Lonchura striata: one gene and its partner. The protein of the gene in region 1 interacts with the protein of each later gene in a pairwise test. Links are inferred from orthologs where the notes say so. Each region holds a gene or a part of one and is shown on either strand. Other genes may lie near its edges.

What was found. The genes of interacting proteins can lie anywhere in the genome.
Region 2: the proteins of ZC2HC1A (region 1) and CASTOR1 interact in binary tests that used the Homo sapiens proteins (3 or more experiments, as listed by UniProt). The two-hybrid records come from large-scale screens. The link is inferred for Lonchura striata from reciprocal best matches to the Homo sapiens genes ZC2HC1A and CASTOR1.

What each region holds. Positions count from the first base shown.
Region 1 is NC_134603.1:29,971,512-29,978,393, reverse strand, and holds the start of ZC2HC1A (zinc finger C2HC domain-containing protein 1A), read left to right. Parts: upstream 1-3,880; 5' UTR 3,881-4,049; coding exon 4,050-4,065; intron 4,066-6,882.
Region 2 is NC_134620.1:2,664,588-2,672,340, reverse strand, and holds the start of CASTOR1 (cytosolic arginine sensor for mTORC1 subunit 1), read right to left. Parts: upstream 3,018-7,753; 5' UTR 2,949-3,017; coding exon 2,746-2,948; intron 2,622-2,745; coding exon 2,551-2,621; intron 364-2,550; coding exon 170-363; intron 88-169; coding exon 1-87. Other genes in the region: TBC1D10A (TBC1 domain family member 10A), read right to left, coding at 5,022-5,414, 5,583-5,737, 6,014-6,203, 7,210-7,275, 7,488-7,602. UniProt on the Homo sapiens protein: Functions as an intracellular arginine sensor within the amino acid-sensing branch of the TORC1 signaling pathway. As a homodimer or a heterodimer with CASTOR2, binds and inhibits the GATOR subcomplex GATOR2 and thereby mTORC1.

The DNA.
Region 1 (6,882 bases):
AGAGCTTTTTTGCATTGCATTTTACCAAATATATCCTTTACCTTTCCAGGTATCTCTCACACAAGAGTGGTTACATGACAAACAGGGCTTACACATAGGAAGTGAGTCGAGTTTATTGTTGCTAGTCAGGCTATGCCAGCCATAAACATCTGCCAGTCACAAACAAGAAAAAGACAACTTTATATCTCAGTAGTATGCCAGGGACCTATGAGGACAGTCCTCCAGTTCTTCTGCAAGAGATCTTGACAGATTCTGGCAGAAAGATTTGGTGCCACTGCTTCCCTAAATTTTGAATTTCAGGACAATTTCAAAACTTAGACCACGATTCCATGTCTTTAGGCCCATGAAAATTCTGACTTATGCAACCAACAATCTAGGCTAACCTGTAACTTTTATCTCTGCCCACAAACCATAGAGAAAATGGGTTTTCTAGTATATCACAAACTCTTCATTTATCTTTTGCAACTTATCCCTGTGGGCAGACTCCTTTTTTTACTAACGAAAAATGAAAAACTGTCCCTTTATTGGCCAACAGGACACCTGAGTTTCTTTGGAAACTGTGTCAATGTTAGGTGGCCTCTCTGCACACCTGCTTAATGTCTGAGTATACCTCAGATTGACTTTTACCTCTCTTCTTTGGAGCTCTTTCTGGAGTTTGGGCACAGGTAAGCATGGCTGTGCTAGTGTTTGTATTTCAATTCTTTGAAATAAGTTTGAGTAAGGACGATATAGCTTTTGCATTTAGGGCTGTATTTTCCTGATCCTTCTCAGAGACACTCAGGATTCTGAACACTCAGAACAGTAGGTGTTCAGGCTGCATTACTTTTTAGAGGCAAAAATTTCTATCATCACTGATGACTCCACAAAACAACCAATATGGAAGAGGCGCTAAATATATACTGGTGCCTACAGGCTTACCATAGCATAGCAAATGTAACCTAAGATGTATTCATAGAAATATTCCCAGCAGAGGCAAAGAAGTCTTAGTGGTGCAGTAAGATTACTTCTCTGGGACAGTTTAAGATTTTGACCACATATAAAATATGAGCTAACATGGAATTGTCCCAATAAAGGGTACCATGATGGCTACAGAAATGGAAAGCAGAGCTTCTGAAGACAGTACTGAAGATCTCTATTTTGTTTAGGTTAACAAACCAAATACTGAAGCATAACGGATGCTAATTCCCTATAAATGCATAAAAGAGATAAAAAATAAAATACATAAGCCAAAAATAAATGTTGGCACAAGTATACATGATGCTAACTAGCAATTAATAAATTTAGCATATTGTTTGGAAAAAAAAAATCCTAAATTTTATAGGGAATGTCATTGCATCAAAGACTTGAGTTTGGCACAGTAAGTCTACAGAAGGAAAACACGGAGTTGGGGTTTTTTTCAGTATGAAGATAAATTTGTGAAGGCATTCATGTAGCACAGTGGCTATGACCACAGAAGCCTCGTCCCCTGTTCCCCACACAGACACCACAGTTAAAAGACAGCTCTTTTTCAGCACCAGGAGTCCTTTAAAGTGTGCTGTCCACAGTTATAGTTGTACAACACCCTGTGCAGACACCAGCCACAAGAGCCAAAAGAACCTTTTAGTTTTGCAGCAGAATCCTACTCTGAGGCAGGTACTGATGATTCACTTGTCTCTTAGCTTGGAACAGATGATACATTTGGCCAAGCAGCATTGGTCAACAGCAGCCTCTGGTGGAAGACCTCCTCAGGCTCAAGATGCCCATAGACCATATCAAGGACAGAGGCAAATCTATAGACTGTGTTGGAGAAGTTGACACCTCAGATGTGAACACCACACTGTAGATACTTTAAAGGTAGGTGAAGTAGTAATTACACCCCTGTTATATAAATGTCCCTGTTTTTAACAAAAATAACCCAACATTTCAAAGAGAAACAATAAACAAAACCAAACAAAATGCACCTCTAATAGGAAGCCCTTCACTAAACTGAGAACATTTTCTCCTCTAGTTTTGAATTGCAATCCACACATAGGAATGTTATGAAAGGAAGTGCACTTCTGGTAAACTGTCCTAATGGTAAGTTTATCATTAAATGTTTGCTAGGTATAGGCTTATTTAAGTTCCGTGTCAGAGATTTAAAGGATCATTTGCAAAGTTTAGAACTTTGCAACTTGGTGGCAATCTAGTTACTTCTGGCATGGCCTGTAATTTTATAAGCATAAACTCTAGAGACCAAAGGCAAATCTGAAATGTACTTTTACTAAATTAACTAGAAAAAATTGCAGCAGGAATTATCATATATACGCAAGCTTTTGGTCTCAAATGATGATGTTAATCATATATTAGTCATGATTTATATGCTGGCTGTTTGGTATGCAGCATCTGGGTCTATTTGTTCTGTGTCATGGGGATGCAGAGATGACAACATGACCATAATCTCTAATTTAATGTCGTTTTTATGTATTTGTTTCTTTGTTTTGCATTCACAGATGTGCTGTGATAAGGACAGTAACTGTAATTCTATGGACAAGTGAATCTGTATCAACCAACTTGTCTAGCATAAGAAGACAAATTATTTGCATGTGCCTGTAAAGACAGCTATTATTTCTGTAAGATTTATTGTACTTTAGAAAAACTTTATTAGTTGTTCATGGCATATTGCCACAAGAAAGACAAATAAAAGATCTTAAGAAGTAATTATAAAATAATACCTTGAAGAAAGAAATATTGAAATGCTTTGGTTGCTAAAAATGTGGAGACCTCTTCTGAAAGGATCAGAAGAATTTCTGTATGTATCAAGCATTTTTTATATTCAGTAGCCAACAGCAATTTAATAGCAGTATTTTCTAAAAACATCCATACTCAAATGTTATCCTGTGGCAGGAGATTCCATCAAGATACTAATCTTTTATTAGCAACTCTTTCAGTTAAGAAAATAACGGGGGGGGGGGGGGGGGGGGGCAAGGGGTGGGGTGTTGCATTGTCTGCAATTATTTTATTTTCAGGACTTGAACCTGAAAAGTTTTTTTTTTTTTTTTGTGTACTTCCTGTAGTCATCCTAGCTTTCTCATCAGCAAAGGGATACCCAATAAGGCCACACATCAACACTGGGTTCAGCTACTGGGTGCTGAGGGTGGAGGGTCCCCGGCACCATCCGAGTTGCTGCCCATATCCATCCAGAAGCGCTGGACGCTTTGTCGGCTGCACGATCATTTCTCCTTATGTGCTTCGCTTTGGTCTTCATATTCAAGGAGGGTCGTGGAGTCTCCCTCTCAGGAGATCTTAAAAACCACCTGGACTCGTTCCTGTATCACCTTCTTTAGGTGATCCTGCTTCGGCAGGGGTTTGGACTGGATGATCCCCAGGGGTTCCTTCCAACCCTAACGATTCTGTGATCCTGTATTTCACGTAAAGGCGCTTCTCTTTGAAGGAGATCCCTGATCTCAGCACAACCTAAACGTATGGGCTTCAGGACCCGTCAGATCGCACCTGAGTCAGAATACGCCAGGTTTTTGCAGGGAGATGCCCAGACCCGGAGCCCTGCTCCCTTGGGAACCCAGGCGCAGCCTAAGGGCGGGGGCACGGCCGGGGCCCGGCACCGCGCTCCGCTCCGGGCGGGGGCACGGCCCGGCCCGGCGGAGCGCGGCGTGCGCCCGCTCCGGGCGGGCGGGGGCACGGCCCGGCCCGGCGGAGCGCGGCGTGCGCCCGCTCCGGGCGGGCGGGGGCACGGCCCGGCCCGGCGGAGCGCGGTGTGCGCCCGCTCCGGGCGGGGGCACGGCCCGGCCCGGCGGAGCGCGGTGTGCGCCCGCTCCGGGCTGGGGCACGGCCCGGCCCGGCGGAGCGCGGTGTGCGCCCGCTCCGGGCTGGGGCACGGCCCGGGTCCGGCGGAGCGCGGCGTGCGCCCGCTCCGGGCGGGCGGGGCGGCGGTGCCGGGGCAGAGCCCGCCCGACCAATGGGAGCGGCGGTTGTTGGCGGGCCGGGCGGTGGCGGCGTTGCCACAGCAGCGGCGCTCGGAAGCCGAGCCCAGCTCGGAAGCCGAGCCCAGCCCGAGCCGGCGGTCGGGGCGCGCCATGGAGGGGCTGGAAGGTGAGCGGCAGCGGCGGGGCCGAGGCGGCCGGCGGGCGCCCGGGGCCAGGCGGGTCATTTGTGTTGCGGCTGAGGCGTGTTCGGGCGGCGGGGCGGTGGCAACGGGGCCCGGGCACCGCCTTGCCCATTCGCGGAGCCCCCGCGGCCGGCGGCGCTGCGGGGCTGGGGTGGGGGCTGCGGACAAAGGCGGCGGCGGCGGGGCCGCGCTCCCCGCGCTCCCCGCGCTCCCCGCGCTCCCCGCGCTCCCCGCGCTCCCCGCGCTCCCCGCGCTCCCCGCGCTTTGTCTCGGGCGCTGCTCCGCTCCCGCGCCCGCCCCGCCGGCCCCTCCCTGCGGCGGCCGCGCTCCGAGCCCGCTGCCGGGCCCTGCGGGCTGGGTGCGGCGCAGTGTGCGGGCATCTCTGCCAGGAGCCCTTCTTCTTTTTTGCTAACAGATGGCCAAGGTGGGTGTTAAGATCCGCTTATCTTGCTAGGGAAATGTTCAGTGCGGTGAAGAAAACTAGGTATGAATTTGCTGACAGGGTATTTTCAACTTTATCCTTTGCGGGTTGAATTAATGGAAACGTTCTTACTCTCTGAAATTATAACATCATCTTTATCAGTGATGTTATCCGTCATAGCATAGATATCAACTTGGAATTAATGAAATTATAGCTTGCAATCTGAGCATTTTTGTAGGCCTGTCATTACTGCATTTTGCAAGCTGCTTTAACCATACTACTTTAAAAAATACCTGCTTTGAAAAACTATACAACACAGTCATTAATTCTTCCATGCTCTACTTCTCTAGAGGTAACTTAAATAGGAGTAAGCACAAACTAGCCTTTGTTCTTTATCCCTTTTAGAACAGTTGGAGAACTAAAGTAATTTTCACAGAATACCTATGTTCTGTCTTTAGTAGATTTTACAGTAATCAGATCCTGTTCCTCAGCCTAATGACTTCATCAAGACTCTAAATTTGAACATAACTTGGCATTAAAATCCCAAGAGCTTTCTTTGATTCACTTGGCATTCTTTGCTGACTGTTAATGCCTTTGAAATTTGAAACATGGTGTCCAGTGTTTATCAAATAATACCTTATCAGGCATTCCAGCTCTCAGGACAATGGTATGTTACCTCTCCAAAAGGGGAGAGTTTCCCTTAATTTTGACTGTGAATTCGACTGCATTAGAGACTGTAGATCATCTGCAGCACATCTATCAATTGATTTGGCTGTATGCTAATTTACCAAGGCACTTTATACTTGCTTGTCTTATGTAAGCTCTAGCACTTTAATTACAGGGGGTAGGAGAAAAGTATCTACAGATAACAGCAGAATTTTGAAAAAACTTGTGATGTTTTCATTAAACTTGTCCAGTTCCTGACTTTGTTGGAAATTATTTATATCTTGTTTGTATTTCAGAAGGTATTGGGAATGGAGGGAACTGCTAGATCACAGGTGAAATCTCATGTTTTACTGAACCTTTTCTTGAAAGTACTTTCAAAAGCTAGAGCTTGTCAAAGCATTTTTTCCATTATGTGAAGTTATTATTCTGCATGCTTGAGATTAATTTCAGAATAGCACAGGAAATAAGTTATGTCTAAAACTCCAGCTGTCCTTGCCTTGTGAACACTCATTATGTCACACTATTATCCACCGTCCTTGAATGCAGAAGTTTTTGAAACTGAAGAACAATTTTCTGCATTTTTATGGGTCATGTTTTTATTTTTTAAAAGCCACCACAATATAAAATACTTTTCTGCTTCAAAACATTTGAAGCAAGTGCATTTGCTTTTATTTACAGTTTTTCAGTTTAGGCTGTCTCTGTTCATGAATATTAGCTTAGGCTCAGATTAAGTTTTTGTAGAAAGGTCACCCTAGGACAGAAAAAAATGTAGGCAAAGCCAATAATAATAATAATAATAAAAAATTATTTGGTATCATGCTTTTATTCATATTATTGCTTCATTGGCAACTCAGAAGAGTGTTGCTGGTTGCCATCTTTGATTAAATTTATGTTTGGATGTGCAATTGCACAGTCATACCCATCTGACATAGAAGTATGGACAGCTTCTGAAATCTGGCTCAGCCTGCTGCCTCATTATATTAGTGCTTAGTAATATAATTTCCCAGAGCTGACTGGTGCAGTAGGTTCTTGGCAGCTGTATGTGTGAGGATCATGGTTATGGGGAAGGGCAGGACTTTCTGTCAACAGCAGCCTCTTGGTGTGTCTGTGATGGTGGAAGACCTCCTCAGGCTCAAGATGCTTATCCAGGACTTTCCAGCCTCAGAAGCTGGTGCTTTTGCTTTGCTGAGGATCAGCATTATACATGAAAGATCTGGTTTGCTTCAGTTTACATAAGCACACTATTAATAAGAAAGAGCTCTACCCAGTTTATAATGATCCTTTCCAAAACATGGAGAGATGAATGTGTAATGCTTGGCATGTGGAACTGCATTAATGACATTTAAAAAGCTAATTAATATTTTCAGTGTCACAGTTGCATTTTCTCACTATGTGCAAGTTTAAATGTTCTGTGAAATGGCAAAGTAGGTTTCTATGTCACTTAAAATTTTCTTGTAAAATTTACTTTTGTTGCCCCTTTGAGGCTGTTGCTCTATTAGGTTATTTTTATCAGTATTATTGTATTACTAGATTGAGTCAAATTTGTACCTTTAAGGTTTGTAAAAGTAATGAGTGCATGCTTGTCATTAGAGGTAGTAAATCTGATACTAAGTCTAAAGTTGCTAGCTCAACATTTTTTACTTTGTAGCTTGCATGCTGTTTGGCTGGTTTTTTAAAATTTTCATTTAATTTACTGACTGTCTCTGTCTGACAG
Region 2 (7,753 bases), on another chromosome or scaffold:
AGGGACACACTCGCCACTCTCCTCCTTGTAGATGTCGAACTCCCCGGCCAGCGTGTGGATCACCACGGGCAGGTCCCGCTCCCGCACCTGCCCCGGGGCGCGGGGTCAGGGCTGCACTGCCACCCCTCCCCCTGGACAGCCAGCCAGGGCCACCGTGCCCGTCACCCACCAGGATGAAGTCGGTCTGGTACGTGGAGAGCATCAGCACCGAGACGTGGTGCTCGGCCAGCGGCGCGATGACCGACCGCGCGATCTTGGTGACGCCGGTGGCCTGGCAGCCGGGGGGCTCCCGCCCGTTGGAGACCACGCTGAGCGCCAGCCACGTGGAATCTGCCACCTGCAGGAACTCCGAGGGCGGCAGCTCTGCGAGGGACCGGGGACACTGAGGCACAGCCCGACACAGAGCCAGTGCCAGCTCAGGCACTGCGTGCCACGCTGTCCCATGGGTGATCCCCAAGGCAGGATCAGCCCCAGGTGTGGGGACACTGGTTTGGGGGTGCAGTTGAGCCCCATCCTCAGTGGAAAGAACCAGACAGGGCTCAGCTGCTCCACACTGGGATTTGGCCGTAGGGACGAGGGGGGCCAAAGCTACAGGCCCCCAAACCCCAAGATGTGTCTCTCCTCCCTGTGCCAGCACCGCAGGCTGGGTGTATGGGGATGTTGGCATTTCACCCCCAAACCAGCATCACCAGGGCCGTGGGGCTGCCCAGCTCATCCTCTGCCCCCCAGGAGCCTCCAGCCCAGCGCCCACCACCAGGGATGTTCAGGGATGCACACAGGACATTGGAGGGGACAAGGAGAGGGTCATCCTGCTGTCCTGGGAGTCCCAGCACCTAGTGTCAGCCTGGTGGAGAGAGCCCAGGCTGCCAGAGGGCCACAGCTGCTTCCCAAAAATCTGCTGGTGTTGGCAGGGTGGGCATAGACCAGCTGCTCCTGCCTCCCACCCTCCTGCCCAGGAGAGGGGCTGGCACTGCTGGGGCACCCAGGGCTCAGTCAGGCTGCTCCCTCTTCTCTGGGCTCCCCTTCCCATCAAGGGACGGGCCAGGGCCCCAAGGAGTCTCCAGTCCACTCCTCCTATCCAGGAAAGGTGGGAGCAGCTCCCATGGGAGACCACACAAGCCCCCAGCCCTTGGGTGGGCAGCCAGTGCCCAAGCCCAGCTGAGACCCCAGACTCACCACGCCAGTGGTGGAGGGGAGGCTGCACGGGGGAGGGTCCAGCCCTCACTGAGGGGCCCCCATCCGGGGACAGGCTCTGTACTCCGCTCCCAAACTGGGCCGGGGCAGGGCGGGAGCGGGGCCGGATCCGGAGCCTTGGCGGCTGTTCCCAGCGCCTGTTCCTGCGCAGGAAGCGCCAGAACAGCCTCGGCTCCAGCCCAGGGCCCAGTGCTGGGAACAGCGGGGCGGGACAGGGACTCAGGGACATGGGGACCTGTCCCAGAGCTCAGTGTTTAATCGCTTTTCAACACCACCCTGGGCGAGGCTGAATGCAAGGGGGCCTCGCTGTCCCTATGTCACCCACCCCAGGGCTTAATCCTGATCCCAAGGGAAGAGGGGGTGCAGCTCTCCTGTGCTGGGGGTCCCCTTCCAGCCCGGCAGCAGGGGGACACTGGCAGCCCGCAGCCAAGGGGGGTTCACGGGGCACTGCGGGGCCGCAGGCTTGCAGGACCATTGTTCAGCACTTCCCGCCCTCCCCTCGGGATTGAGGAATATTTGTCTGCATGCCCCAAAATACAACAATACGTGGGGAACGGCTCTGGCTCTGGGAGCGGGGAGAGCCCGGGACACGGTCCCGCTCCACAGCACACGGAGGTGAGCCTGGCACCTGGCCGCGAGTGCCCGTGGCCGGAGCGCTGACCTTGTCCCTGGGTCACGGCCAAGGACCCGCGGCGGCCCCGGCAGGAAGGTTTGGGCGTGGGAAGGCGGGCGGGATCCGGACCCTCTGGCTCAGCCCGTCGGGCCGGTGGCCCGGCAGGGCTGGCGGTGAGGGTGACACACCGCACGTGCCGGGCCATGTGGGGACGTCACCAAGTGGCACCTCCCCGGGAGAGGGACTGGCTTGGAAGGGATCCAACCTCACCCCAAAAGCTGGACCCTGCTGCCGGACAGGACTCACCCCTGCCAGCCTGGCCGCGCCTGTGCTTTGCCCTGCTCTGCCAAAGCTGCAGCTGGCCCTCACCGGGAGCAGGGGCGGGATGAAACTGGACACGGGAACGATGACAGGCTGCCAGAGCCGGGAGCGCCGCCCGCGGGCATCCCGGGAGGAGCCTGCGCCCTGCCGGAGCGCCCGGGCTCCGGGCCGGCACCGCAGCCCGGTGGCAGCGCTGCCCGGGAGGGGCTGGCGGAGCAGGGCAGCCACGCCGGGAGAGCCCCGGCCGGGCAAGCCGGCACATCCCCGGCACAGGCGCCTGGGGCAGGACGGGCACGCTCCGAGGGAGCCAAGCACAAGCCGGGACTCGCTCCCCGCGGCCCAGGCGCAGAGCCGGGCTGGGGACGCGCACAGCCCGCGCCGGCGGTGCCAGCCCGCCCTGCCAGGGACCCACCACTCGGTACCTTTGAAGCCCTCCTCGTCCAGCATGACCGTGTAGTCCTCGGGGGTCTCCGTCAGGCTGAAGAACTTGCATCTGAAGCAGAAGAAATCGGTGCTGCTGACCTCAAAACCGCCGCCGTCTCCCGGGGCCGGGAGTCGGGGAAAGAAGAGCAGGAAGAGGAGGAGGAGGGTGGTGGCGGGGGGAGGACAGCCGGTACCGGCAGCGCTGGGGCAGGAAGAGCAGCTTGAGCAGCGGGTGGGTGTAGAGCCAGAGCCCGCGGCGGGCCAGGCTCAGCACCCGCACCCGGTGCTCCAGGATGTGCAGGTCCATGGCGGCCGCGCCGCCCCGGGAAGCGCCGCCGCCGCCACTATAAGGGCGGACACGGGACCGCCCCGGGACCGGCCCGGGACCGCCCCGCATCGCCCCGGAACCGCCCCGCCTCGGTTCGGCAACGCCCTGTGACCGCCCTCACCGCCCGGGGACCCATCCGGGAACGCTCCGCTTCTCTCTGGGACCGCCCTGTGACCGCCCGCCTGGCGCCAGGACCGCCCCCATCGCTTCGGGACGCGACCCGGCACCGCCCCGCACCGCCCCGCACCGCCAGAAAGGCAACGACCCGGGCCACCGGGATGCCCGCACTGGACACCCGGGATAGCCCCACCGGAGCCTCGGAACCAGCCCCAGTGCAGAACTCCGTGGTGCCCAAACCAGCCCAAATTCAGCGCCCCAGGATGCCTGGAGCAGCTCCAACTCAGAGTCCCAGAGTACCCCCGAAATGCAGCCCTGGGGGCCCAAACCACCTTCAATTCAACAGCCCGGCATGCCCAACCAAGGGAGACCCTCTGGGAGCCACTGCCAACCCCACTCTACCCCCAGCCACAGCACCCAACCGGGTCCCACATGCTCAGCCCCAACGCCAGGTCTGGAGAGGGGATTCACCAAACCAGGTCCACCCTGGGAAAAAGGGGTTTGTGGAGGGAGGAATGGAGGTTTGGGCAGAATTCTTGCCTGCAGGAAGAAAGAGAGAGATGGCCTGGGCACTATTTTGGGATGGGAAGCTGAGCTCTGGGGTGTCATGGGATTAGTTTGGGGTCCCCTGGCTCTGTTCAGCCACAGGAGCTGTGACAGTGGGAAAAGGGGAAAGGCCTGGGTGCTGGGGTGGGAGTGCACCAGAGCCTGGCAGCCACCACTCTCACAAGCTGGGGCAGGTCTCAGTCTCCTCCCATTCCACTTCAAAGGGGCAGCCACAAGGCTGGTGAGACAGCAGGGCTGGGCCATCTTCTGCGGTGACAGAGCAGTGACAGCAGCGTGGCCCTTCCCAGGTCACTGCCCAGCACCTGCCCCCAGGACAAGGGCAGCCAGGAGAGAAGGGACCCAGGGAAGGGTGCATGCCAGGGTCAGTGTCCAGTGCGAATGGGATGCAGGGGAGGGTGCCCCCAGGGATAGAGAACCATGGGCAGGGTCCAGGTCAGGGTACCCCCAAAGCTGGTACTGGTGCAGCAAAGGGGAGGTGACACCCTTGCCTCCTGCCACCCTCCAGCCCCATCCCAGGCCAAGAGAGGTGGGAGCCGGGGCTGCGCCTTTACACACTCGCTTTATTGACCCCTTTGTACAAAACTGCTTTTCCCGCTTTATTTTACAAACCCACCACCCACCCTCGGGGAGGGCGGGGGGGGCAGAGGGGACCCCACAACCAGGGGGCACCTGGCTGCTGCTCACCCACCCCGTCTCACCTGCGCTGGGGCCTGGGGGGGGGTGGCAGTGGTGGGGTGAGCCCTGGCAGGGTAAACACTCCCCCTGAGCTGTGGGGAACTTGGGGATGGGAGGGGATGGGATGGGGGGCCTTCAGCCCCAAAACTCGGCAACAAATCCCGCCGCCTCTAGCACATCCTGCCTCGGTCCCTGTCCTGCCTCAGAGGAATAATAAATAGGCTCAGTGAGTAGGTAAGTTGGGTACTACATATAGGGCTACAGCTTGATATATCCTCACTAGATAAGAGGGGGGCGAGGGGTCCCAGGGCTCCTCGTGTACCCCCAGTGCCCTGCGCCAGGCCTAAGTGCTCAGGAACTGGGGCTGGGGCTGCCCGGCTGGCGCAGGGTGGGGGCTACAGGAGGGACCCGGGGGGTGATGGGTCGAGGGGCTCTGGGACGGGGAGAGGGGCCCAAGGGGCAGCCCAGCCCCCCAGCGTGGGGAGGGAGCTCGGGTGGCTCAGCCACCCCCTGCCCGGGCTCCCACCGCTCGTGGTGCCAGCACCCTGCGGGGTGGGCACCCAGCGCAGACCCACGGTGTCCCCTTTGGTCACCACACCTGGCCAAGCTCCACGGATGCCCCGAGAGGGCCACGCTGTTCTCCCGGAGCCGCACAGCCCCCCTGTCCCATCCCTCCAGCTCAGAGCCCCCAGCGCCGGGTGCCAGGGGTCCCCCTGGGTGTCCTCGCGCCCGGGTCCGTGCGCAGCCCCGCTGAGCCCGGCTGCCCGGGGTGTGGGCCGGGCCCTACAAGTACGTGTCCTCGCTCTCCCGGGAGCTCAGGCTCTCCTTGGACTGGTGGTGGGGGGAGACCTGCGGGTGCAGCAGCTCCCGGGTCGTGCCGGGCGCCCCGTTGCCCTCGGCCCCGGGGCCGTTGGCAGGACTGGCCGGGCCCTTTTCCCGGCTCTTCTCCTTGCTCTTGCGGGCCTTGGGCACGGGGGCCGGCCCGGGGGAAACGATGATGGAGGGGACGGGCTCCAGAGCCTTGCGCGGCGCGGGCTCCGCCTCGCTGATGGCCTTGGCGCCGTGCAGGCGCGGGGGGGACTTGCACTGCAGCTCTCCGTGCGTCTCCCGCCACTTCTTCAGCTGGATCAGGTGCTCCCGCTCGATCTGACGCTCCGTCACCGGCAGCTCGATGACCTGTGGGGACACTTGCTCCATCAGCGACAGTGCCACCGGGGCTGGGTGTGGGATCCCCCTCAGGGCACTGCTAAGGAAGCTTTTTGGGGGCTGCTTCCCATGCTCCGCCCACCCAGGGACAGCCCAGTCTGGCAGCACTGGGCCCCCAGGCCGTCCCCAGCACCTCACCTCCTGCACCAGGAAGGCCTCCTGCATGATTTTGGGGCTGAGGGCCCTCAGCCTCTCCATGGTCTCATACTGGCCCTGGCAGGATTTGAGCTTGTCCGAGGAGCCCAGGGTGTGTTTGAGTAGCACCAGGCCCACCCGGAAGATGATCTTCACTCCTGCAAGAGGAGACGAGACGCAGTGAGTACCAGGTAGGACAGGGTGACACTGCCACCGTGTCCCTCAAATGCTGTGGGACAGCACATCCCAGTCCCACTAACGGTCAGGACATGCAAGAGGGTGAATTTGGAATGCACATGCCTCCTAACCCCCAGGAAAACTGCCCACTTCCACTGGTGGCTGTGGCTGCCCCAAACCTGCCCTGCTACAGGTCCCATGGCCGTGGGGAGTGCAGTCACCCCGTGAGGAGGAGGAGGATGGTGGGGAGCTCCTACCTTCACAGAAGAACATGTCCCAGACGCGCAGGACGGAGCTCCAGGGCAGCGTGCGGGAGAAGGCGCACATGAACCACTCCGTCATGTACAGGATGGGGTCGATCTTCTGCTTGCTCAGGTGCTTGTAGGCCACAGGGGAGACCTTGTGCAGCAGTGAGAAGAGGATCTGTCCGTCCAGCTGGATGGCCTCCTGCAGGGACAGGGACCAGCATCCCAGTGAATACCCCAGCCCTGGGATCAGCCCCCAGGGCCAGGTCCCAGCAAGGGCAGCCAACCCTCTACACCTGATGTGAGCAGAGCTGTGTCCCACGGATGCTACACTGAGACCCCCATCCCTGAATGCTTCTGGGAGCCACATCACAACAGGGAGACTGTGGGAATACCCAGCCCCTCCTCAGACCCCTTCTTTCCCCAGGGTGAGGAGCTGGACAAGTCTTTGGCCTGGAGATTCAGAATTGTGGAATGGTTTGGGTTGGAAGGGACCTTAAAACTCATCTCATTCCATCCAAATGCCCTGTGGTAGCTTCCACTATCCCAGGTTGCTCCAAGCCCTGTTTAACCTGGCCTGGAACTCTTCCAGGGATAGGGTGGCCACAGCTGCTCTGGGCACCCTGTGCCAGGGCCTGCCCACCCTCCCAGGGAGGAATTTATTCCCATCCATCCCTGCCCTCTGGCAGTAGGAAGCCATTCCCTGTGTCCTGTCCCTCCATCCCTTGTCCCCAGTCCCTCTCCAGCTCTCCTGGAGCCCCTTTAGGCCCTGCAAGGGCTCTGAGCTCTCCCTGGAGCCTTCTCCTCTCCAGGTGAGCACCCCCAGCTCTCCCAGCCTGGCTCCAGAGCAGAGGACCTCCAGCCCTCAGAGCAGCTCCATGGATTCCTCTGGAACTCTCTCCAGCAGCTCCAGGTCTTTCCTGTTCTGGGCCCCAGGGCTGGGGCAGCTCTGCAGGTGGGGCCTCACCTGGGCAGGGCAGAGAGGCAGAATCCTCCCTCCCCTGCTGCCCACACTGGGGGTTCAGCCCAGGACACATGGCCAGGGTGTGGTCAACCCTCACCAACCAGCACTCCTGTGTCCTTCTCCCCAAGGCTGCTCCTGATCCCTTCATCCCCAGCCCAGACTGATGCTAGGGGCTGCCCCAACCCAGATGCAGCACCCTGCAGGTCCCTGCCACTGCTGAAAGCACCATGAGCTCTTTACTTACCAGTTTCTCGCTGTAGTAGCCAGGGAGGTACTTCTCACAGATCTGCACCAAGCACCAGAACGCTTGCTGCAAGCCAAGGACAGCAGGTGAGCACTCAGAGGACATCCCTGTGGCCCACTCCCTGCTCCCAGGAACCACGGGAGAGGGTGGCAAGCAGCAGAGCACCCCTGGAGCCCTTTGGGTTGCCCTGAGCCGGGCACCCCACTCATCAGCACCCCCCAAAGGGCCCCACAACGCTCCAGGAGGTGCCAGCTGTCCCCTGAGCCACGTGCCCGTACCTCGGCCGGCATGTGCATGAGCAGGACGGCGGCGATGGGCGCCTGGGCCTGGCAGTACCCCTCCTCCGGGCGGTACAGCGTGTACGCCTTCAGCACCCGGAACAGGTCCTGCTGCCTGCAGAGACACCCGGGCACGCACAGCTGGGCACACGGCACGCACGTGGCCCAGCAGCCTTCCCCGTGCACGCCAGGCTCGAGCCTGGGTCACTCCCTGGCTGGGATCCCTTTTCCACACAAAGCCGGGCCAACAGCTCTGGGGCTCGGCC